4 linked regions of the Styela clava genome follow. Each later gene encodes a partner of the first gene's protein in a complex. Links are inferred from orthologs where the notes say so. Each region holds a gene or a part of one and is shown on either strand. Other genes may lie near its edges. The genes, in order: THO complex subunit 3-like, THO complex subunit 4-like, uncharacterized protein LOC120342097 and THO complex subunit 6 homolog.

Region 1 (6,856 bases):
TATTTACTGTAGTTACTCGCCCTGTCTCGAAACGATATTTGTAATTTCATAGCAGTAAAATTTTATTATGAAGTTATCTTCATGGTTTTCTTATGTTCAAGTTTGACAGAATAGAGATGGAAATAATCCTAAAACGAGTGTTCTACATTCTAATGTCTGTTTATCCTGAGTCTTATTTGCAGCAAACGTAGCTCCAGGTGTCTCAAAATAGAAAACATAAAACTACCGGTACCGGTATTTGAGCATGATATGTGTATGTTCAAATTTAGTAACTATATTGATGGATCAATGGTTTGGCAGTGGCACATCCATGCATCTGGAACTATCAACTGGTTAATGCAGTTGTTCCCAATTTTTTTTGTTCAATTCCTTCTTTGCCCCATTGAGAATTATTTATTCTTCCCTCACTATGCATGTAAACTATTTTTTTTATTCAATGTTAGTGTTATAGGCACGAGTCACACCTTCGTTTTGTATAGTTTAAGTAGTTGATTGTGTGTTCATGAATATGTGTTGTAGTTATAGTAAAAAATATTTGTAATATTACCTCAATACAGAGCAAAATTCTACCTTGAAACGGCAAAATTTCTCTCTTGAGTGCAATTCAGCCCCGGTTGGGTTAAATATCCCCATTTCCAACCTGGACTCGTAGGTGTTCAACCAATTTCCATGGTGTAGGAAACACTTCTATATCGAATATTTTCTATGTCTACCATAGATATTCCGTTGACGTTCCCATTGACAAACAAGTTGTTAATAAAGAGGCAATCAGAGATCCTGCTGGTCGACGAAAAGCGAGGCGAGAAGTTAAATCAAAATTAGAAGAGAGGTTAGTTTTTTTCTTTTCTCTTTTTCACGTTATTTTTCTAGATAAAGGTCTGGTGGCCTGCTTTTTTAATAAGGATACCAACAGAATTATTTGATTATTTTTAACAAACTTTTTAATGCAAATACCGTGGTTCTTAAAGTGGGCGACGCACAAGCACATTTTGTTGGTGCGTCGCAAAACTCTTCTTTGTTTTGTGGAATTGTACCTGTTTTGTGATTGAACATTTTTTTATTTGAACAAGAAATTATAAAAAGAAGATTCGCAAGTAGTCTTTGGATTTCTTCGGATAAAAATTATCATTTCTTGGTTAAAAATTGTTGCGCCATCTCATCCCCTTTGCGACTTCGTATTTATGTGAAGCAGGCTTCTTTACCATGGTTGTAATCTAGACGAAATATAGATCTCGAGCAAATGTTGAAAGGTAAATGCCTGCGGCTCTCACAATTCAACCACAAGCAGTACACCCGTCCCATTAAATGCCATTTCACTGACTTTTGTTATGTTTTGTATGATCGTTTTTTCGAAAAAGGTCTTTAGTAAAAGGTATCAAGATGTTTTATTAGGGAATCGCAACTTGAGCATATTTTTCCAAGAGTGTCCGATACAAAGAAGTTTGAGAACCACCGCTTTAATAGATTTAGCAATTATTACGTGAATGTGGCTTCTGAAGAAGCAGTATATACAGGCTTCAGTACTCCATATTTTTTTGTTTGAATATGGCTCATAAAAAATGAATGATCTGTTGGTTTTAAAGAGTATTTTAAAACATTTTCAATACTATGTACATGTAGTATAAAACTAAATTTTGAATCCGAATTTAACTTTTTTTGAAGCATACAACAGTTCTTTTTTTTTTAAAACTTGAATCTTCATTTGTAAATATTATTACGGATAATTTATACTTTACATATGTCATTAGGCATTAAATTGAGTCCGCAATAATAAATTTTAAAGCAAATTTTCAAGAATTTTACTTGTACTTGCGCTACTTATTCTAGATTTGTGAGCCATATAGTAGTTCATGGCAATAATCAAATTATATTCCCAACATTTATTTACTATAATGATTTTTACCTCACCTTGCTGAGTTCATTGAAGGTCAACATTCGATAAAATTAAACTTTCATAGCGATTAAAATGAAAATTATCAATTCTTTTTATGCCTGATGAAAGTACATTCAAGTCGAAGTCGAAACCTTTGTAAATTTTTGCGATACCTGGATGTCCCAGACACAAGCTATCCTTTCTGCTATGTTTTTGATGTTCATCCCCAAATGGATGGAGATGGAGTTAGGCTATATATTCTGCTTATATCCTATTTAATTGTGATTAAACTTGTATATATTCAATTGTTCCATACATGTTTGGTGATAATATACTGAATTATCATGTATATCTTTCAGATACAAGACCGGCAAGAACAAATGGTTTTTCCAGAAGCTTCGATTTTAAAATACTTACGAAGTTCGAAATATATGTCATAAAACCATTATTGTGTGTTTATTTCGTTGCAACTATCAGAGTTTACGCATTGATCAATGTAAGGCCAGACTGCAGAATAATACGACTTTCAACTTAAAGACGCCTGGGTGGCAAACAAAATGTTGGCCTTTTTCAGGATAAAAAACAAGCTACAAATAGAAATTTAAGTGCCAAATCCACTCTCTACTGACGTAACCTTTGCAAGATAGGTAGTTCATGTTTATCCAGGGCAATGTTATAGTCTCTGAGCTTTTGTGAATTTCATTTGTTGGTTTATTCTGGTCCCACTGACGGGAAGAATGGCAATGCAGAAAGAACAAAATGGCGGTACTAGCATAGTGTGTGTGTCAGGTTCGACAACCAATGTTCCCAGATCTAAATCAACAAATTGGGAGGGAAAGTCTCAAAATCAATGTTATTGATGGTAATTATCGTATGCGAATCAGCCAACTAGCGTCGATTATTAGAGATTAATATTAGAAAATTACCATGTATAAAATGACTCCGGACCTTTGACCCCCGAAAAATTCTACCCATATTTTACCATTGCAAAATGTTCGGGGTTATTTTAAGAGTGTTCTTGCGAGTTGGCGCCAGTAAACTGGGGGTATGTGTTCCAAACCATCATTATGATTCATCGCATACAATACAACAATCTCTTTTTTAAAAGTACCGATAAAAAATTTTAGCCTAGGCTATCAAAGCTATGTCTACACTAATTTTTTTATTACAGCAATTAAATTAAAACTCCTAGGAAGACAGAGTAGTCATTGAATTATCTGATTTATATTTAAGTTTCCGAAAACTAACGAATAGAGTTCAAAAACAAGTTAATGTTTACGATCAGGCTTGAAAATCTGTCCTGAGTGAGAAAAGTATCTGAGCGGATTCGAAAAGGGAGCATTGTTACGTCACTTTGGGCATCTTGCTGATTGACCAATATCTCGAAGTAAACAAGGAAGTTTATTCTCGGGGAAAGGTCCATATATTGCTGCGAGCGTTTCCACTACTCTTCGAAAATTTCTCGTTGAATTTCATTTATTATTTTGCAGCTTTCAATCCATTCATGGTTGTTTATCGGTGCTTGTACACCATCCCCTTATATATCACCACGCAATATGGTGAGAAGGTGTAAGATCAGGCGAACGTGCTGACCATCTTATATCACAATGCAAAAAAATGGAATGCCTTCGAAAGATTCCTGCCTGAACATTCATTGATGTTTGCCATATAGAGTAATCATAACATTGCATTTTCTATAATATTCTTAAGTCTTGGCAAGGAAACGTTTTGCAGCTTCTGCGCATAACAAGCTGGAGTAAGTAAATCGTATTTGTCTCCCCCAAAAGGTAAGGACGCCAAATTCACAACTACGTTCCGTTCTCTCTCGCTATGAAGCTTTCTAGGTTTACAATATGACACTTGCCCAGTAACGAAAAATTTGTTTATTGACAAAACCAGATATATAAAAGTAAGCTTTTTACTAATGGAACATTTTGAGTGAAAACATTCCACAATAAATGCACGGTGTTTACTTGTACATTAGTATTTATTGACGGTCCAATTCATAACTATTCATGCATCAAAGCTTTTAACAAATCATTCATTATTATAATCTTCAAAAAACAAAAACTGTTTATTAACTACATAAATTTACTTAAACTAGGTGAATACCTACAGCAGCAATGAAATAGTAATAATTTAAAGTGAAAGAGTGTTTTTGCCTCGTATTTTTAATGTAAATCTGATAAATATAAAATGATTTATTCAGTAAATCTTCTGTGTTGGTATAATAATACCGGGTTAAATTGAAATTAAAATTGATCAGTTGCGACTTGCTAAAAATTAAAGCTCGCGCGCCACGTTAAAAATGGATTTCACGAAGAAAATGCAGCAATATTTTAAATTACACGATCGACAAAAAGAATATGGTGCTCATACATCGAAAGTCCATTCTGTTGCTTGGAACTGTGACGGAAGAAGACTTGCTTCTGGATCTTTCGATCAAACTGCCAGTGTTTTTACTCTGGATAAAGACAGGCTGGTTTGTAAAAGTTTTACGTGCATATTGTATCAGACAATGCTGTATAATGGTATCTTGGTATTGTGAAAATGGGGGGGGGGATTTCCCAGAAACCAGGTTTCTCGTGGGAAAATGCGATATAAAATAAATAGAAAACTTTCATTATAACATAGTCTGTTGCTATTTCTTCAGTATTTTCAATATTCTAGATGTGAACCTGTTTGAGAAATTGATACAATAACATGTTAAATACCTTTCTTGCAACCATTCTGCCATTAGTTAAGACGTGAACCACCCTACGACGACGAGGAGTCCAGCAATACTCTCACACATAACTATCCCTGCTTGGGATAGGAACCTGTAAACCCATGCAGATTAATGTATGTATGTTTATTCGTCTCGTAAAAGCAATATAAAAGAGTTAGTAATTATAAATACACAAGACCATACTGGCCTAAAACACAAATGTAAGGCGTACACCCCTTTTGATATAAATAATTTATGAATAAATCAAATGTGATGATTGTCTTTTTAATGCACAATGAATGAAAAGACCAAGCTGGATTAGATATGACTATCTCGGAATGAATTGTCCATTTAACAGCAACGATAGATATCTGTAGACTAATATGCATTTTTTTGTGATTTAGTCCAGAGATCAATCATACAAAGGGCACACAGACAGTGTAGATCAGCTTTGTTGGCATCCAAGCCATCCAGATTTATTTGCAACCGCTTCTGGTGATAAAACAGTAAGAATATGGGACGCAAGAAGTGGGAAATGCTCAATAACGATGCAAACAAAAGGTATTGTTTAATTAGCGATTTCAACTTGCTCTCGGGAATCTCACCAAGCCATTTCCCAGAAAGTAGGGATCTGATTTGCTTTAGGAAGCTGTAACCGACCATGGAAACCATCCTACGCAGGGTGATCAGATTTGCGATGGCAAGTGTATTCCTGATCCTTAACACATCGTGCCAACCACTGATTTGAGATATATCTATAATTTAGCTTGACAACATCGATATTGGTATTCCAGGTGAAAACATAAACATATGCTGGAGTCCCAATGGGCAAACAATCGCAGTTGGAAATAAAGAAGATTTGGTGACATTTTTTGATACAAAAACATGGAAAGTAAAGGCATATGAGCAGTTTAAAGTTGAAGTAAGTTTCATGTATTTGTAACTAAGCCAACGTAGTAATGGATATTTTTGTGAAATATTTTTTATTTTATTTGTCCAGGTGAATGAAATTTCTTGGAATAATTCCAATGATCTATTTTTTCTGACGACAGGATTAGGTACTGTTAATATACTAAGGTAAGCAGCATTTATTTCTTTCAAATACATTCCTAAGCACTATTACTAAAATAAGTACTCTTTTAAGTAGGTTTGGGTGAGGGCTCGAGGCCTTTTTTTCAAGCTATATATAAATGAGTGTTAGAGTATCAGTAAAAAGAGTAGATAAGTATTATCGGTATCTGGGGCGAGTGGACGGTGTGGTCATTCAGGCAAGGTCTGGTGCTTTCTCTTCTCTCTCAGAATGGCTTGCTGAAAACAGTGGGCCAGTGCACTAAATATACTTCAGGCATTATTTAACAATTTGTGAAATTAATTTACAGTTATCCTGACCTAAAGCTGATTCAATCGCTTAGTGGACATACAGCCAACTGTATATGCATTGAGTTTGACCCTACAGGTCGCTATTTTGCAACAGGCAGTGCTGATGCATTAGTAAATTTATGGGATGTAACAGAACTTGTTTGTGTGCAGACATTTTCAAGGTAGGTTTTACAAAAAAACTTCAAGCATATACTGCATTTTCAGAGCCACTAAACATTTTCTTAAATATATTTTTGTGCTAGGCTTGACTGGCCTGTTCGAACATTGAGTTTCAGTCATGATGGCAAACTTATAGCTTCGGCATCTGAAGATCATTTCATTGATATTTCTAGCGTAGCAACCGGTGAAAATGTTTGTGAGGTAGGTACTCTGTCTATCATTTACTTGATTCAGACACAGAGTATATGGAGGCGGAAATACTAAACCAAAATCGAAGTCGCTAGGGGCTATTTTTGCCCTATTTGACTGAATATTTTTCTGTTTCTTGGTTTAATTCTTGGGAACACTTGTGGATGACACTGCTCTCTTTTTTTGTTTGCCATGCAGGTCAAATGTGAATCACCAACATTCACCGTAGCGTGGCATCCTAAGCAACTCTTACTCGCATTCGCATGTGATGACAAAGACAAGTATAAACATGATAGAGATGCCGGAACAATTAAATTATTTGGTCTCTCAAGCGAGTCCAACAGTGACAAAAAGTAAGGGTTTGAGAGCTCACCTTCTTTTCGGAAATTAGCAAGCAAGACGATGGGGTAGCGGGAGCGAAGCGTACACTCAACACATATGGATTGACCACCGTGGTCAAAGTATCACGCAACAGTGAATTCATTTGAAATTGGATATTAGAAAAATAATACAAATATAGAAAACATCAGGTCATTCATATAGAATAT
Region 2 (6,795 bases), on another chromosome or scaffold:
AACTTTGATCAAATATAGTACAGAGACCATTCCAATTTAAATAAAAAATATTTATTATTCCTAAACAGCATGTAAACACAGAGGTCAGCAGGATGTCATGTATTGACCGGTGACAGATTACAGCGCTGAAAGCGATTGGATCGCTGGATCTCCTAAATTCACTTGCTTTCATTCTCTATTTACCAACTATGTTGGAATACTTTGGCTGGCAGTTTTATGCTGCAGGCATGACAACCCGCTTCTAGACCAGGCAAACTTCAATCATACACCTCCATATATATGAGTGATGAAGAAACGCCCACCATTCTGTCCCTAGCAGTTACTGCGGCAGACACCTCATTGATAAAAAGTTTGCCTTGTTAAACAGTACAATTAATTGCTAGGGTGAGGCAAAATTCAATCATACACCTCATATATGGGTGATGGAGAAACGCCCACCATTCTGTCATTTTACTCCAAATCTTGTATACCAAACCTAACAGTTATTGCAGCAGACACCTCATTGATAAAAAGTTAGCCTTGTTAAACAGTAAAATGAAATATAAAAACCGAAGTGTTGCCATGATCTCTCATCCCGGCACACACTCCACATGAGAAAGAATTGTATACATAAAGTTATGGGCGCGGCGACATCATTATGTGTTCATGGCAGCATGGAACAACAATCACTGTGATTGCGTTGAAATGCAGGTCATTCGCAGTTTAGGCAGTCTTTTGCACAAATTTCATTCAGTTTCCATTTTAGAAATGTAGTCATCAAGTTGTTTATCAAGTTCTTCAGCAGAGACATTCTCTTTTGCCTGTCTTCCTCGTCCACCACCTCTACCCCTTCCACGACCAGCACCTCCTCCACCTCGTCTTCCTCCGCCGCCACGTCCACCACCTATTTATGATAGAAACAAATTGTTTTTAAAATCCCCAGTACAACTCCATACAAGATCAATTATTTGATGTCATATGCAAGCTTTTTGTACATTTTTCAAATATTGATACTAGGAGGGGATAAAATCTAACTCATTCTGATAATTGTTCTAACCCACTAATTCAATTATAATGTGAATTATGGAGTTACCTTGATTTTTTGGGCCAACACGAGAACCTAATCCACCTTGTGCCCTGGTACCACCGCTCACATTTCCTGACCCATCGACCAGTCTGATCTCCATCGCACGTCCATCTAGTGGAACACCGTTGTACTGTTGCATTGCCTTCAGAAAAAAACATACGATCATTAATGGTCAGTCAAGTATATTGTGAGGTTTCAATGTAATGAAATTTGAATGACAGGCACATATTATGTATAGGTAGCTTCAAGATACAATACCATTAAAATATCTTGAAAAATTCACCTTCACTGCATCTGCCCTCCTTTCAAAGATAACATCAGCTGATCCCATTGAACGACCTGATTTATCATAATGAATCGCAGATTTCCTCATGGCTCCAAATTCTGAAAATAGCTCTGTAATATCTTGATCAGACACACCGAAGTCCAAATTGCTCACCAGAAGTTTGCCAGTTCCACCAATATTGCCTCTGAAACATGATAAAGATTTAAGAAGATGGTCATAAATTATAGTTAGTAATACAATATCCCTTGAGGTAACATTAACATATGAACACAAAACGACTTGCGCAAAATTTGGAACAATGCACCACACCTGGCACCACCAGTTCTCCTGACTGGACCTGCACCACCTCCTCCACTGTACATGTCATGATCCCATTTATCATCGGGCACACCTCCCGATCTTTTGTAAGGTGCAGGTCTTCCACCTCTTCGTCCGCCACCAGCTCCCCCTCCTCTCCTTCCATCTCTTCTGGCTCCTGAAGCAAAAGAGTCCCAAGTTAGTAAGCTCTTTAAGATTGTATAAGATGTGGATTAATCAGTTATCAAAAATTCTCATACTGATATATGAACATTTGGTGAAATTATAAATGTCAGAATGTTGATAAATTACCTCCCCGTCCGCCGAAACGCCCTCTTCCTCCACCGCTACCTCCTCTTCGCCCACCTCTACCCTTCTTGTTTTGAGAAATAATGTCATCCAAAGACAGATCAATTTTGTCACCCATATTTGATGGTTTGCTTGATTGGATAGGCTTTAAATTTTCTTTCTTCAAATAATCTCTCACAAATTTTAAAGCACACAGCAGTGCAACAAATGAATCAACTTATAAAAAGCTATTAAACAAGTGGCATTGTAACCTCAATTGATCAAATTGCTCCATTTTCATATTTGAAAGATGATAAAATTGATGCAACTCCAGCTGTTCTAGTGTGTGTTGCCACCAAGCAGCCAAGTAGACTTCAGATATTCCAAGAATACGTGACTGAATGCTACTGAACACCAAAATGGAAGCCGAAATTCTAGCTTTATTGAAAATTTCACCGCCAGACTGTGGTCATAGTACACCACATCATCTTTAAATCATTATCAAATTGTGATTTCAAATAAGAGAACTCCAGCTGATACACTAGATTACTCCAGTTGAAACACAAAAGGAAGTCCATTATAATTCCAGGGACAAACCGATTATAAATCAGGATGTCAACCAGAATCAAAAGTTTATTTACCACCAAATGATCAACCGATTCAGCGATTGTGTATTGACAGATTGAAGGCAGGTGCTGACAACTGCTACGTTGGATGACAATCCACTACCAAAGAACTCGACAGCGAGAGATTTGAATTTTCAGTATCTCTGTATTCTGGTATTTGAAACCTTTTCCATCCGCCATTCCAATATCAGGAAAATAACGAGACTACATTGGTAATTCGATTTTCTTATTCTGTATTCCTGCTTACAGCCTACATTGTAAAAACTTGCTCAAGAACCCCTAATGCCCGCTCCGTTTCAGAAATAGCGCTGAATTATCAATAAAGGAGTGAAACGTGAAAACTCAACAAACAAGAGCAACGGCGACGTTTCACTAATCCAACAGCACGCCACACACACATATATAATCTCGTATCAGCCTACCACAAGAAACGGATTTGATTGGTCCAGCTAATAAAAAGAAAAAGGTTTTGGAAAAGCCGTTAGCATTCTATCGATTAGAAGTCACTTGACAATACTTCTCTGCACTTATCAAATATTAGTATCAGGAACCGTCGTAATTCTACCATTCGTGGCGCAAAAAAATATATGCTTTGGTGTCTCACTAATTAAAGGTGCTATGTCTAGTGTTAATGAAAAAAACCCGACACGCACGCTGCAGCTTGAGGTGTAATAATCCGATAAGAGGCGCTAGTTTTGATTCAAGCGCTTAATGCCGTAACTGGCAGCCTGGGATAGCCTATACTGGAGCCAAATACTCCTAGAAGATGAATGATTATGGAGATTCAAAATATATTTATTTGGCCGACTAGCTGGTCTCTCATGTCCAATATTAAATGTTGTCACGTACATTTTTGACAAGATAAAATATAACGAATAGGTAAACCCACTAGAAGTAGAAATCTCATGGCGTTAATCGGCTTCTAAATGTTGTATATTTTGCGCTAAGAGATATGATGTTGCGTATTCTTTTGAGACCCTAGCGTACGCTTGCTGTTGTAACTCAAAATCACATACAGTGATTCGTTGGATTTAACAAAATTTATTTCACTTTATTATGTTCACCACTACGGCCATTAAAACACCCAAAACATATTTTTGGACGTATTCAAGTCTGCAAAACAATCGGTGTTTAATAGCACGTAAACGAACTGCCATTGCTAAATACTACATTCATAATCGGACACGTCAGTGTACATAACGATCGTTTCAATATTATGTGGTTGTTCTTGTTATTATTATTCTCCTTAGTAATGATGGAATCGCTTTTCTCTTCGAATACTGTACCAATTGCTTTGAAATTTTCAGTGGTTAAAAATTTATTTTTTGGTAAGAAGGCTATTACTTTTACTTATTTTGAAAATTTCTGTGAACTTCAAGAAATTCGTTTGTTATGTGTAGGGCTGGGCATTTTCGAATACCTTGTGATTTCAGAATCGAATCGAATAATATTTTTCGAATCGAATCGAATCTCGAATACTTGAAAATATATAATTGTAAGCGATTTTATTATAGTAATTGGTCCTCCCAACCAGAGGCGTAGCCAGCGTATTTTGCGCCCGGGGCAAAATATAAAATTGGCGCCCCGACCCCCACGTTCAATCATGTTTTCTATTGCATTTAATTGTATATGTAAAAACAAATTATATATCGTCACGCTAATAACCGAATTGCGTAAGTCATTTTTAGCTGTTTTGAGAAAAACGTAAAAAAACTTCCTAATGATATTTCTATGCCATTGAGATTCATTAATTTGCCATAGTTAAACTTTTTGATCGTAGCCGGATTTAAGTTAATTTGTATGACGCAGTCATGTGACGTCATAATAGCGCACTGTGACTTAGGCAAAAATGTGTCTATTACTAGGGGACATACGCAATTTTGCAACTTGACTATATGTACCAGTCCTGAAAACCAAACAATCCCTAATCTGTTTCAACTACATTATTTTTTATGTTTAAAAATATGTATTTCATCAATATAACACGCTCTGCACACTCACCGAAATAAGACTAAAGTTAAATATAAAGAATAAAACATTAATGTACCCCTATATAAAAGTCAACCAAGGTGAATTGGACTCACAAGTGCACGCCTTCCTATACAGTAGTATAAATTGAAAATTATTAGCGCTAAGCTAGAATCTGAGATGCAAAAACTCGAAAATCCTTCGCCGAGGTTATTTTGCCTTTTGCAAAGCTATACAAAATAGAGCATATGTCCCACTCAGTTACTGTCAAAGATGATTTACATAGTCTACAATAAATTCATTTTTTCAATTTCACTTTCGTAAACTGGTTAACACGTCGTCAAAATCTGTTTTTTTCCAATGTTTCTCTTTCAACATTTAGAAGTGCAAAATCACTGAGACGATCCTGTCCCGTTGATGCACGCGAATACGACAAAATTAGTTTCAATTTGAAAGACCGTTCACAGCTTGCAATTGAAACTGGTATTGTTAACAAAATTTGTAGAGAAATTCGCAGATTGGGTAAAACGTTGTCTCCAAAAGACACAATAAAACCAAGAAGAGCCAAAGGAGTTTCTGGTTGACCTACAGTTCTGCTACTGAGCAGCATTCTGCAATCTTCAATTTCGGTGAAAAGTTCGTGGCCATTGATGTCCGTGTCGTAGAAATTTGCAAAATCTGTGCAATCTCGACGAATTGTCGAAAACGGCATTGGGGTCTTTTAGCACAGTATAATATATTTTATGTAACTCTGCCGCAAAGTACGGTACTTGGCAACAGCGAAATACAAAACCACGTATTACTCAAAACATGTTTCCGTTCGTCTCCAGCACAGAACTAATATCAACTTACATCGGAGTGCGCAGGCAAGAACTTAACGATACAGAACCACGTCATTAACCCGGTGCATTTTGTTACCTAACGTTACCAAATCAAATTTTGCTTTGTTTCCCAGCAAGATTTTTTGGCCATGTAATTACGATGGAAATCTGACCGTGCGCGAGCTATGTGCGTGATGATGTCGGCAGTCGTAAGTGGTCTGACCAAGTGTGCAGTTTGCCATGTACTAAGACTAGATGTCTGCCGCCGGTGCGATCTTGCATGTGACTGTATTTTACCCTTGTGAAATTTTTGCAAGCCCCATTTTGGCGCCCCTGTACCTTGGCGCCCGGGGGCATATGTACCCCACTGCCCCCCCTAAGCTACGCCTCTGCTCCCAACACATGAATTACCGAAGACATATATTAAATCACCCAGATAGATTACTGAGCGTTCACACAGAATAACAAACACGTTTTATCAATGACTCACTACAGAAAATAGTCATATGTTAGAATTTCGTTGGAAAAATATGACTCCAAGGAAAAAAAAATTGGGGAATTCACCTCGACCATTAGCGGAAAGATAAAAACAAGATGGCGGCGATTCGAAATTTAGCTCTGAACCGATTCGAATAATTTACTATTCGATTCGATTCGAATATTCGATTCGAAATGCCCAGCCCTAGACTTATGTGTCAGAATAAAAATGTAGCGACACTTTGTGACGTGTTCATAAATTTGAGCATAGCTATCCTGTTTAAAGATCAGACTATTATTGTCAATTGAACTCGCAAAAGGTTTCCTTATTTCAGAAAACCATGCCGAAATTATAAATATATAAGAGAGATGAGAAACCATTTTTTATTAAAATTATTTTATTATTATTTTTTTTAAATTATATTTTTATTGTGAAAAAGATTATCTTTTTGGGGTTATATATATTTATTCAAACTTTGCATCAACGAGAAACTTGCTGTTGCATCCACGAAAAGCCCTTCTGTATTTGACTTCAGATCGATAAAGCACAGGATATCGTTGATTGGTAATCGAGCCTGGGCAATCTAAGTAAGCTAATTGGATTAATAATGGAAATCAGTTTCGTCTCGTCTCTCGCTGTTGTATTATCCATCCATGAGGGTGCTAAAATCCATGGGTTAGGGTTAGTATGGGTTCAAATATCCGTGAAAAAAATTCCAGGTGCAATAGTATGAAAGTCCAATTGTCGTGGGTTCAAATGTACGTGGGTTCAAATGCAATGAAACCATCTCAAATATTTCCACATATAGCCTGCTCTGGAGTCCTATACGTCGTTGGGTATATTAAGATTCGCGAAGGATATTTATAATTTTCGATATGCTGTCGTAGCGAGTACACAAGAATATGTACCGTGTATCTCAATACATTTAACCACGTATTATTAAGGGTACATAATATGACGTATTT
Region 3 (5,882 bases), on another chromosome or scaffold:
AAATATATTGAATGCAATATCACATAAAAAGAAATTTTATTATTGATAGCAGCAGAACCATGATTTCTCTTTAATGGTTGAAGACTTTAAAATTCTTCTTCTTCACTTCATTACGGCATCCTCAGTCTAGGAGTTGATTAACTTCAAATGTTAGTGTCCATAATTTACTCATCTTCATACAAGCTTCTTAGGGCAAACATCTTTATACCTGTGGTAGTGTTTGCTTATGAATAGCAATTTACAAATTGCTCAATAGTTTGTGTGTGTTTTCATATGTCATGCAACAATATCTGTATCAATCATAGCAAATAAGCCGTGGACTTGCATTCCATAAATTACCACCACAGGTATTTGAAGCAAGATATTCAGAGCCCAAAGAATGATTGCAAGTCACAAAATTCCGCATCCAATCTTCTCCTGAAATATGTTCAAGATTACTTCGTCATTATTTCAGATGTCGATAGATTCGATTCCACCTCAAAGAACTAGGTATTCTCAATGATACAATATTCTAAATACAACTCTAAAAATGAATTGCGAATGCATTACAATTGTCCATTCATTTATCACAAGCAATAATATACCACCACCAATCACCTCTATAAACATGTTATCAAAAATAATTGTAAATGCATTTCAACAAATGAAGCACAATAAATTTTGAAAACCAGAAATAAGATCGGTCTAAATCTTGAAATGGAATAACATAAATGTAGTATAAAATATGTGTCAAACTAATTCATCATCAAATTTTTGGAAACAAGAATTTTGTACAATTTCTCCATTTAAAGACAACTAGACATTGGCCCAAAACTTAATTCAAATTCAGAAAAGTTTTCAAAACAGTTCCTAAAATCTGTCATTTATGTGGTGAAAAATTCCATAATTTAGCAAAAAAAAATAGGAATGCGACAGTTTTGCTGTTTACAAAATCAATTTAGAATACGGACAGCAGAGAAATACAAAAAAAACCATACACAAATGTCTACACATTGCCTATATACCAAGTAATCAAGATTGTAGATAGCCAGATGAGAAAAAATGATTATTATTGCTTTTCTAATTTAAAAGACAAGACTATTGACAGCCATCTTTTTGTAATGGATTATTTGGTATAACCCACCTTGAATCGATATAAAATTCTGAAACTCACACACGCACAGCAGTGGTTAGACCAACTCGAATAACAAATGTTACAAAAAGGATGGCGCATAGATGCCTCCCTCGAATGAAGAAACCATAGTATCACATGATTGTTCTTGGATTCAATTGTTTATTTCGGCCATGTAGCTGTCCAACTCAGCATTCATTGCACCTTTTGTTTTAGTCATATAACTGTCAAGTTGTTCATCAAGTTTGTCTTTGTCTGCAGGTTCTCGTCGATTAGCTCCACCTCTTCCTTGACGACCTCCCCGACCTCTGCCACGACTTATGCCACGCCCTCTACCTCTCATACCCGTTCCACGCCCTCTACCAGTTCTCGTAGGACGAATAAATCCACGTCTTCCTGGATTGCGGCCTCTATTTAACGAATTGCCGCGAGGACTGGGAAACCCTCCACGACCACGACCACCTCGAACGAACTGTCCACGGCTTTGAAACCTTCCGCCTCTTATTCCCCGTCTTCCTCGTGCTGGAGGACTTCCTAATCTGTCACGAATCGACACCGGCTTATTATCAAGCGCAGCAGCAACTGCTGGCCGTCTTTCCATTTGTTGTGCGAGTCGACGATTCTTTTCACTTGCCATTCTCTCATTGGACATTTGAGCTCGCACAGTTTGGGAAGTTGTTCGTTGTGTTTTCATGATCGTAGAAAAACGGTCATTAAGACTGACCTTGGTTGAGCTTTTGAGAACGATTTTGGCAGGTGGGTTGGACGCCATTCTACTTCTGGAGTATACGCCAAAAATAACTGGATAATAAGTAACAAAACTCTAATCGTCACTAAACTATCTCATTCCAAGCGGGTCAATAATTCAACTTTAAATCTTACAGTACACACAATTCTGCAAAATATTGAGAAAATAAATCTTGTCCAAGTAAATACACAATAATATCTGGCAATGAATAAAATTAGTATAATAATTAGGCTATATATATATATAAACAAATCTTCTGCAAAAAATAGAGCGAAATTTTTTCATTTTTTGCCGCTATTCTAAGCAAGGCTCCATTTTTTCGATTATTTTGATTAGGCCAGATTCGTTTCCCAGAACAATTTTGCAATATTGGTATCAGTAATTATAAGTCCGTAAGTGGCTGAAATTATTTGAGATTTAATGAGATTCCCAATGATTCCATGATTATAATGCAAACTTAGCAAAGAAAACAATGTGGTAATTTTATGAATAAATCAATGACATCTGCAAACATGATGTCATCACTGCTGACTTTTCTAATTCATTAATCAATGTATGCCAAAATCACTCTCATTTGATTATACTTGCACTTGCTCTCGGAGAGCCCGTAAAAGTGACAGACATCAAACATGGTAATCTCAGCCGACATATTCAGAATAAGTAGACGATGAAACCTCACAACGAAATCTCATTAATGCACAATTTTCGCGTTTTTCATCTCTACTATAAAAGTAACATCTGAACATATAATAATCATTGGTGCCAACTTACTGGCAATAGGGTGGCGTAGCCAGTCTGCGGTCGATTTCATTCAAACCGCTATGAAACAAAAACCAATATTTCTAACCTGGTAATTTTTTCACAGTAGGTGCATGGGCATTTCTTCTACACGCTAAACCTCGAATTAACTTTCTACGACCAAAGTACGACACTCTGAAGACCTATTTGCGACCGAACGACCAGTTTGCGACCACAAATTTCAAGCCTTGAACATCATTTCTGCTGCGTCGAGACTAGGGCATACGCAGCCATGCGTGAAAAAAATTAGCTTCTAATTGCATTTCTGACCGTCATATATTTTAAGAACAAGGTTATTTCGAACAAAACTCGTCAAATTATAAATAAAGCACCGCATTACAGCAATCAAACAAACAAAAACACGGTGGTCGCGAATTGGTCGACAATGCTATTATCGACGTATTGGAAATGCGCACCCTCCTATTCCCCCTCCTTTGAATGTGGAAACGTAAAACTTTAAAGATGGTTGAAAGAAACAGAACTCTACCCACCTGCCAAGTTTCATCTTTTTATCTCTTATATTTGTATGGATTTTCAAGCTTTTTCAAAGGGACAATGGGTAGTTGGCGACATGGAAAAAGGGTCCGTTTTTTTTCCTCGGTCGGGTTTTCGGTAGTAACTTTTTTGTTTGTGGCCGCATTTTAGTGTAATTTCGCAGAGCTACGAGGGATACGGTAAGTGGACGATAACGCGTGAGAAATATCGTCTCGGTTCGTTAATTTTTTCGACATTAATTTAATCGATGAAGTTGATGGTCGCAAATAGGTCTTGGCCGCAAAGTGGGTAAGCCACCCTCTATTCCAATTACCATACTCCATTTTACATAGACAATTTTTAGCGGCCTACGATTTCTCTCGAAAAAATGATGTGAACCAAAAGCAAGGCATTAAATGTTATAACATTATTTGTGATAAATTTCGATCAAATATTATTAGTTTACTATTAAAATGTATAATGCGAGTCCTAATTTAGCATATCAGTATCTCTCTATCTAGGGATCACATGAATTTCGAACAATTCTAGAATTTTATTGTCCTGCTGTCCTGAGGAATGCCTGTTAGGTATCAAATAAAAACCAATGCTCAGGTAATTTCCAATAAATACCAAGACAGTAATATGTTTGAAATTTTGCTTAAATTTCAATCCAGCAATGTCTGGGGTCTAGTATAGTTTGGTACCACAAGTACTTCCAGTGGGCGTAGCATAACGAATTTTGCATATGTTATTCCTAACCCCCACCTGACTATGCCATCCAAAAATTACGTCACCACGACCCAGACTGGATTCCATGGCAGGTGCACGCCCGAGGGCGCTAGCGCTCCGCAAAAATGCACGCGAGCGAAAACAATTTTGCACGCCGAAAATTTGCAATTGCTCACCAATGTAAATCGGTTTAAATGGTTTTAAAGTCAATAATCCAGTAATATAAAGATGCCAAAATATTATAACTCCACAATTGTCGACAAATACCAGCTTGCAAGATTTGGTCTGATCGAAATATTGCGAAGCAAAAAGACCATGGACCTTTCCCCAACCTTTGAACCGCGAAAAATTCCTCTCACGTCCTTTTTTGCATCTTGCTGATTGGCCAATGTCACGAAGTAAACAAGGAAGTCGATGCTCGGGGAAAGGTCCATATCGTGTTGAATGATAGGAAATATGAATCCCGTGAGAATAGTTATGGACGAAAAGATCGCCTCCGCACCAATGGCCAAGTACGGCTCTGATTCAGCGTATTTTTCATACAATAATTTTACACGAATGTACTGAACAGTACCGGTATTTAAAGTTGCTCAAACACTCCCAAAATTAGTGACAAAGTATGAAAATAATGTTTGGGGTCAAAGGTCAAACGTCCATTTTGCTCTAATTTGACGTATTTTTTATCCATTAATTCTACGTAAATACACTACCAAAATTAATGACAAAGTATGTCCATTTTGCTCTGGTTCAACGTATTTTTTATCCAATAATTTTACACGGATGTACTGAACAGTACCGGTATCCAAAGTCGCACAAACACTCTCAAAATTAGCGACAAACTGTAGAAATAATGTTTGGGGTCAAAGGTCAAACGTCCATTTTTTCTGTGATTCAACGTATTTTTTATCCGATACCGGTAATTTTACGCGGATGTATTGAGAGGTATCTGATGTCAAAGTCAGTTGCACGCGAGTGCAGTTGTTTTGCACGTCGTGAGCTATAATTGCACGCCAGGAATTCTTATTTGCACGCGGGAATTTCTGATTGCACGCCCGATTTCTCGTTCAAAAAGGCCATGAAATCCAGACTGGACCACGACGTCATCATCACGTCATACTCATAGGGCTTGTCAAAGTATAATTACGATCGCCCAAAATGGCATCTGCGCCGCTGATAACGAACTCGCTAACGCCGGCGATCTCTCTGGTATCGGGATCGTTGTGACGAAAAAACGAGAGAAATAGCTTGCTCGATTTCGGATGATCGTCTGCGCGTTTTGGACTACCTTCCGCATACTTTGGTGGGCCTTATTACGCCACTGTGACGTCGAAATGACGTAATTTTTCGGTGACGTAGCCAGGTAGGGGTTACTGGGTTAGGATTGACATATGCAAAAATAGTTGAGCCAGGCCAACTAGAAGTGCATGTGGTACTAAACTATACCAGACCCAATGTCTGAATGTGGTGGCACGATCTTCACATTTGAATAACAATAAAAACAGAAAAATAGAACTGTAGAATGGGATTCAGCATTCTCAATTCAAGTATTCTAGAATAGAAAATTATTCTACATCCCTACACTCACTCAATCCAACACTTGCCACCTACCTATCCATGTAATCTCAACAAAATTTCCTTCAAATGGCTCCAGGCTGGTCCACCCGTCTGAGATTGAACCATAGACAGATAGAAGTAGACTATTTAAATTTTATATTTGCCAATGGCCGAATACTACCGGTACTGTACTAGGTGTGGTATAATAAAAAATTATCTTAGTTTACTCATATCTTCACATTTCATATTTTTGTTTTAACTATACTGGCATCGCCCCCGAGGTAAATAATCCTAAAAATGGTGTGAGTACTGTTGAACATTTTAAGCATCAGAGCTTTCGAATTTCAAAGTGACTACGGTACCGGTATTTGTCGAATTTGCAGCACGAGCGCTAGCATTGCGGATATCCCCAACCCTTGACCCTATAATATTTTCCAATATTGAAATATTTAGAGAGAGATTTTTTTT
Region 4 (6,832 bases), on another chromosome or scaffold:
TTGGGATTAGACCATTCGTTTTGATCGTCTTATTGTAAATTGTGTTTATTGGTATATCAAGTACTATTATATAATACATTGCCATTTTGTAACATGACTTAATGAGAATTGCAAATCATTCACTTACAATTTCGATATAATATTTACTTCATTTACTTTTTGTTAATTGTGTTTATTGATTTATCAAGTATTAATATTATGATGCATCGCCACAGGACTAAGTGAGTTGCAAATCACTCACGATTTCTATATAATATTTTTTCCTCTGGTGGCTTTACTTATAAACAAAACCTTCAAGAATAATTGCTATTACTTTCGCTATCCAATATTATTGTATACCTCTCGTTAAGTACTGAATCTCAACTAACTGTCAATCCATTGATTGCCAATAAGCTGATTTGCGCATGATTATTATCAGGTTGTTGCCACTGTGAAATTCTTAGTTGCTTCTAACTGACTGGTGTCAAGTGTTAATCAATCTGAAGCTGTATTGAGCCAGTTTAGATTTGCAGTAGGCATTTTACCAGTCAATCATTTTTTATTGTTTGCATCCTATGTATATCGTTGTAGCCAATGAAGCTGACGTACTCGTTGTGAAAATTTATAATAAATGTGCAATGCAGGTATCTGCATATCATAGATTTAATGTGTGTGATCTATAACTTGGGTTACAAAATACATCCAGTTTGTGGCTGGTTCCTGCGGCAATCAATGGTGCACTGTCTGTGTTTTTCTTTTTATTGAACGTTAGAGAGAAGACTGTTCCAATGCCACAAGGAATTGAAGCCTTTTCATCACCATTGGTATACCAGTGGTGTACAGAGTTTGTATTTCCACCAGAAACTATGAAGTTTTCATGGAACACTGTTGTATATGGTGTGAACTCAGGGCAATCCAATACAGCAGTTTGACTTTGAGATCGCAAATGCCAGAGTGATAGTTTCGGTCCTCCTCCACAAACCATCCACTGCCCATTATCATCTGTAGCAACGGAGCTTATCCATTTTCCATATTGTGGCCGACTTAGCTCTTTGTTTTGATGCGGCTCAATTGTAGTTGTCGCCTGTGCCATACGAAGGTCCCAAACCTGAAACAATCATTGTTTAAGTTTAAAAGGAATAGTGCTGTAGTAAGGGTTATGTTGTCAAGGGTGAGGCTGATTTAATGGCTTACTGTCGCTTTTGTTCAAGATACTTATCGACTCAAAATCATAAATTGGTAAAAATAGATAACCTGAATTTTAATGAAAAATCATGATATGCATGCCATGATATACAGACATTACTATTAAGTGCATACCTTAACACTACCATCTTCTGATGCAGAAACAAGGCCATTAGGAGAAATAATTGCAATATCATGAATATATTCTGTATGTCCAATAAGCATCCGTTCACATTTTCCAGAATTAAAGTCCCATATACACACTACATTGTCATCTCTTCCAGCATATAGCTTTGTCTCGTCGCAAGCAAGAACATTTACGTCATTTGAAGAAAATGATCCTTCATCTCCTTGTGATGGTTCATGCAGAGTATAAACTTTTGCCGGTTTCCTTTCTAATATATCATTCCATTTCCAAGCTGCCACTGGCCCAACTCCTCCACTTAAGAGGCAGTCTTTCGTGGACACCAGTGAATGTATTGGGCCATCATGGGCTTTGAATGTAATAATTGATTTTTGCCACTTAAGAGAATTGAGTGTGACTGCTTTCTCAAAATTAAACAGAGATATATGTCCAAAATTATTTGCTGCAGCAACAAACTTCCCACAAGGAGAAAATACAGTGGAATACACAGTTGTACACAGCAAGTGTCTTGAATCCATAGTCTGAAGAAACGAATATAAATAAGTAGGTAAATTAAGTTTATTGTAATATGAATTGTATATCAACAAATTGGATCACTGCATGACACATTACAGCATTAGAAGAAGAGTCAGTAAGGTAGACTACAGCAGTAAGGCACATGCAGACATGAGCTCATGCGGGGGCAAATTGTGAATATTACCGGTATCACTAGTATACTGCCTAATGTTAAGACCTTAGTTCCTCATAACTTATATATATATCGCATGTCCGTATACGTCTTCTGTACCGGCACCGCCTTCTTTCCGAGTGAAAATTACCTAAATTCTCTCCACATGCCCGGCTTGTTCATATCCTGAAATTATCAAGTTTCCCCGCGAATCTTGCGCACCATCTTGCGGGATACGCCAAGACACGACATTTATCCCCATGCTTCATTCCATAACTGTCACCCTCGACTCCAGAGAGATAGAGAGAGAGATTTATTTAGTCAACCAGAAAAAAAAACAGTCATAATAACAAATAAATAATGGCTATAAAAAAAGTACGCTTTTTTCGGTATAGACTGGAAGGAGCGATACGACAACGACCATGCGGTCATCGAAGTCAGCCCCCTCCAAGTTTACGCTGATAAATTCACAGTAAAATATGGCTATTAAAAATGGTTGAAGTTCACGACACAAAATTTGAAAAAAACAAACATAAAAATGAAGTAAATAAAAGTAATTAATTTTTTTCCCTGTGAAATCAATTTTTAAATGATGAGATTTGTGAAATGAAACAGTTTGGGCAAATTTTCAACTATTACACTATTATTTGAAAGTGAGTAGTGAGCCCCACAAATAAAAAACAATTTTGGCTATTGGACTACTATACTCAAATGTAAATTTGGACACATAACAATTATTCGAATCAGCAAGGAACCAGCCTTACATGTACGAATAAATAGGAGATAAACAACATGGTACTCATGTAAAACAATTGTTTCAAGAGAGGAATCAACCTTACAACGAGAATATCGGTCAGAGACGGAGGACTATCGATCAAAAGTTAGGGGATCCCCCAAAAAAGCGCTCTCCATAGTGACACCTTGTGTCCCATCACTATTTAATTATTAACTCGCCAATTATACGACATAATTCGCCCAAAATCAATAGGGTTCTGGTCCGAGATATGATGAATGCACATGAGAAATCTGGAGCAGATTCAATCTCGTTTTCGTGAGATATCGCGTGCATCTAACAGACAGACAGACAAATAGCCATCAACATACTTACCGATTAAAATCGATAAGCAACAAGAAAGATTTTTGGCAAATGGGTGACTGAAAAATTATTATATACCCCAATTAAGAAACAATTTTGGTAAACATACGATCAATAGTCATATATATAAATGCAATTTAGGTTGAATAACTATTATTAGTAAGCCTTTCAAACAAGACAACAACTGTGGCATATTAAAAACTTAAACCCAATATTAAAATAGGTAAACGATGAAATTATTGGGAGCAGCAATAAATCAGCCTGACAAATAAAAGGCAGTTTTTGCAAATATACAAGTAGCCCTCATATATAAAAAAAATCTTCCAGAAAAAATCTTCATATACAGTACCTGCCCCTGCAAAATTTGTTTGTTATTGGACACGTTAGTGGACAGACTCTGATGACCTTATCGGTCGTATCGTTTTCTCCCAGTCATAAACCGAAAACTCTGAATTCTTATTTTGTGAATATATATTATGATCGTTTTGTTTTTCTGGTTTGACAAAAGCAATAAATTCTTTCTCTCTCTCTCATAACGATCGTTTTGCATTTTATGCTGGTACTCTTTTTCTTCTTCTTGATTACCGGACCAATCGCTTTGGAATTTTCAGTACTCAAAGATTAAATTTTTCGCTAGAAGGGTATTACTTTTATTTTTCAAATATCCCGGTGAACTGCATGGGATTCGTTTTTTATGTGTGCCATGACGTCATCGACATTTGCCACTAGGTGGCGCTGCGTCTCCACATATTTGAGCATAGCTCTCTTGTTTTGAGAGTGCTTTCGTGAGTTAGCGCTTATAAACTGGTTCAAATTCTTTATACTTATTCTTTTATCATTTTTTTCGACTCCATAATCAATATAATAGACGATAAAATGATTGATAAAAACAAAATAAATAGCACTGATTATAGAATCGGAAAGCAAACAAAACCTCAAGTAAGGTTTGAAGAGTACAGACTTTAGATAGAAAGGTATTATCATTTGAAGTTGATTATAGTTGGAGTCACTTATATGCCAAATTGCCCAATCAGAATTGCCAAGTTGGATGGATGCATGGAGAGGTGGACTAGACCAATGTGACTATAACCATATATATTCATTTATATATTAATATTCTCATTTGCATTGCACTTCTAAACCTCTTTAACGTTCTGCCAAAAGTGAAACCACCACAAGTTTGGGGAAATGCTTTGTTATAAATCCAGATCTTTGCTGATTATATTTATGATTAGAAAATATAGAGATAAGTTGATACATATTTTTATCCCATTTCACCAAAACTTTTTGCTAGAATAGCCATAGTCTACTAAAGTCACGATCACACTTGAGTAGTCCATACCATATACATGATATTGAACACTAACTCTTGTTTAAACATGACCATGATACCGTCAATCAAGGGTGTATTTTTGTCCAAATTCTAAATTTAGTATTATTTATTTAGTTCATTTTGTGTGGTGTTATGTCGTATTTATAGATGTTGTCTTTTCTCACAAACACTCCTGTACAAACAGTTTTGTATACTCCACCCTTACCTCTATTACCACACCCACCCACACTTCTTGCACAACTGTCTGTATAAGAGACCATATTATATGTATTCGATTTACTACTTTTTAAAAATTTTCAAACGGGGTGCATGCTCCACGTTCGTGTTTTAGGCCAGTATGGTCTTGTGCATACATCCCGTCTTCAGTAATGATAATCTATATATGCGTTTGTTACTTTTACGAGACAAACAAACATACATACATACCAGTGGTGGGATTCAATTTTTTTTTGTCAGCCGGTTCCATCACAAAAGCCATATTTTTCAGTCGGTTCTGTTACAAAAGTATGTTACAACGAATCGGTGCGAACCTGTTGAATCTCACCACTGACTATTATAACCCAATTGCTAACAATGAGTGCAATGATGCATATCCGACGCCGTTTTGTGTCCGGCGAAACGCGGCAGCCTCTGTTTGATTTAGCTTCGTCAGTCCGCTGATCAGGTTTCGTTCCCCAATTTGTCTGAAGATGTGTTATTACTAGGGCTGGGAATTTTAGGGAAACACTTTGACCGTTAACCGGGTAAAATTAACCGGTTAACCGCCGCGTGATGTTTGACGTCATAATTCTAATTTCAGTTTGTTACGTCACAATGGTTATAAAACAATTTCACGTGTTCTTATCCCGCCATCACTCAAAATTATTCACGAATCGAGATAGTTTCATGATTCCTATGCTGCAAAATATAGGCAGCGTCGTTCGGGCATGTGGAAATATTTTAGAAAACCCGACAAATTTTGAGTGTTCTATGTGCAAATTCTACTTCGAGATATATATCATAAAGAAAAACGGCATCAACTGTACACTTATTGTATGACATTGAATATCCGATTTTGCAATGAAATCGTGAACAATATATTTCTGAAAACTGATTCTGAATTCATCATTGTAAATTTTCATTATTAGCAACCTTGGTGCTTCCATTATTTTTCACATTTATTGATTCCTTACCCACACAGTTAGTAATATTTTTTTGAATTAAACGCCGCAAAAGATGAATTTGCGATGATGTAATCATATTTGACGAAATTGTACGGTATAAAGATGATTTGTACCTGAGATGTCAGTTAACGGTTAAAATAAATCATAACCGTTAACCATATGAAATCGGTTAACCGGTTAACCATTCCCAGCCCTAGTTATTACTTATCGATCTCGATTGGTAAGTATGTTGATAGGTATTTGTCTGTTTGTTATTTATCGATCTCGATCGGTAAGTATGTTGATAGGTATTTGTTTGTTTGTCTATCTGTTAGACACTTTAATATGTTACGCGATATCTCACGAGCAAGGTTGAATCTGCTCCAAATTTTGTGCATTCATTATATCTCGGACCAGAAGCCTATCGATTTTGGATGAAATATGTCGTATAATTAGCGAGTTATAAATTAATTAGTGATGGGACACACGGTGTCGCTATGGAGTCATAACGGATGGATCGAAACCGCAGTTTTTGTTTTGGGGGATACGCTAACTTTCGATCGATTAGTCTTCGGTCTCTGACCGATATTTTCGTTTGTCTATTAGACACTTCCGTATGTTACGCGATATCTTACGAAAGCGAGATTGAATCTGCTCCAAATATTGTATGAGCATTCATCATATCTCGGACCAAAAGCCTATTGGTTTTGGATGGATTATGTCGTATTATTTAATTAGTGATGGAACACGTGGTGTCGCTATTAAGTCAGAGTGAAGGGAACATGCGGAAGATCGATAGGTCGTAAGTCTCCGACCGCTAGTGGAACAATACTGGTATCGTGTGGGTTCGTGAAAGTTGCGATTATTTAACAGGTTAGGCTGTGCTCAAAGAAGTGAAAAAACGAGACTGTGGAATCTGCAGAGATGCGCTTGTTTCTATGGAAAGTGTCAATCCCGATGAACGCCCATAATCGTAACTAACTCTTTTTTGGCCACACATGATAAAAATTTAAAAAACGATAGTTTTACCCAATATTTGTGCCACCCATCCAAAGAGAAATCGTATTAATGCCTTTCATAATATATGGTCGCCGGTTACTTTTCTGACAGATAAAGTCGACTGCTCGAAATATAATTTCTCATCTGGCCACTATGCCGCTTTTAAAATTTTGGTTGAATATTCACGCAAAAGAGGTGACAAAGGAAAATTGAAAAACAGTACGCTAGTAAAACTGCAGCACGAATACAGAGTCAAATAGATAATATATTATTTCATACACTCTAT

The links.
Region 2: THO complex subunit 3-like (region 1) and THO complex subunit 4-like share a complex: the UniProt entries of both Homo sapiens proteins name them as parts of the transcription/export (TREX) complex. The link is inferred for Styela clava from reciprocal best matches to the Homo sapiens genes THOC3 and ALYREF.
Region 3: THO complex subunit 3-like (region 1) and uncharacterized protein LOC120342097 share a complex: the UniProt entries of both Homo sapiens proteins name them as parts of the transcription/export (TREX) complex. The link is inferred for Styela clava from reciprocal best matches to the Homo sapiens genes THOC3 and CHTOP.
Region 4: THO complex subunit 3-like (region 1) and THO complex subunit 6 homolog share a complex: the UniProt entries of both Homo sapiens proteins name them as parts of the transcription/export (TREX) complex. The link is inferred for Styela clava from reciprocal best matches to the Homo sapiens genes THOC3 and THOC6.

What each region holds. Positions count from the first base shown.
Region 1 is NC_135250.1:23,430,470-23,437,325, reverse strand, and holds THO complex subunit 3-like, read left to right. Parts: upstream 1-3,846; 5' UTR 3,847-4,181; coding exon 4,182-4,355; intron 4,356-4,984; coding exon 4,985-5,141; intron 5,142-5,374; coding exon 5,375-5,502; intron 5,503-5,580; coding exon 5,581-5,657; intron 5,658-5,959; coding exon 5,960-6,121; intron 6,122-6,202; coding exon 6,203-6,320; intron 6,321-6,506; coding exon 6,507-6,665; 3' UTR 6,666-6,814; downstream 6,815-6,856. Other genes in the region: large ribosomal subunit protein eL27-like, read left to right, coding at 719-829, 2,233-2,281; mitochondrial inner membrane protease ATP23 homolog, read right to left, coding at 6,844-6,856. UniProt on the Homo sapiens protein: Component of the THO subcomplex of the TREX complex which is thought to couple mRNA transcription, processing and nuclear export, and which specifically associates with spliced mRNA and not with unspliced pre-mRNA.
Region 2 is NC_135253.1:1,065,857-1,072,651, forward strand, and holds THO complex subunit 4-like, read right to left. Parts: upstream 2,926-6,795; 5' UTR 2,077-2,925; coding exon 1,962-2,076; intron 1,828-1,961; coding exon 1,662-1,827; intron 1,537-1,661; coding exon 1,350-1,536; intron 1,209-1,349; coding exon 1,073-1,208; intron 884-1,072; coding exon 726-883; 3' UTR 503-725; downstream 1-502. UniProt on the Homo sapiens protein: Functions as an mRNA export adapter; component of the transcription/export (TREX) complex which is thought to couple mRNA transcription, processing and nuclear export, and specifically associates with spliced mRNA and not with unspliced pre-mRNA.
Region 3 is NC_135252.1:15,318,167-15,324,048, forward strand, and holds uncharacterized protein LOC120342097, read right to left. Parts: upstream 2,038-5,882; 5' UTR 1,884-2,037; coding exon 1,266-1,883; 3' UTR 523-1,265; downstream 1-522. UniProt on the Homo sapiens protein: Plays an important role in the ligand-dependent activation of estrogen receptor target genes. May play a role in the silencing of fetal globin genes.
Region 4 is NC_135252.1:9,988,637-9,995,468, reverse strand, and holds THO complex subunit 6 homolog, read right to left. Parts: upstream 2,286-6,832; 5' UTR 2,128-2,285; intron 1,831-2,127; 5' UTR 1,828-1,830; coding exon 1,300-1,827; intron 1,088-1,299; coding exon 635-1,087; 3' UTR 519-634; downstream 1-518. UniProt on the Homo sapiens protein: Component of the THO subcomplex of the TREX complex which is thought to couple mRNA transcription, processing and nuclear export, and which specifically associates with spliced mRNA and not with unspliced pre-mRNA.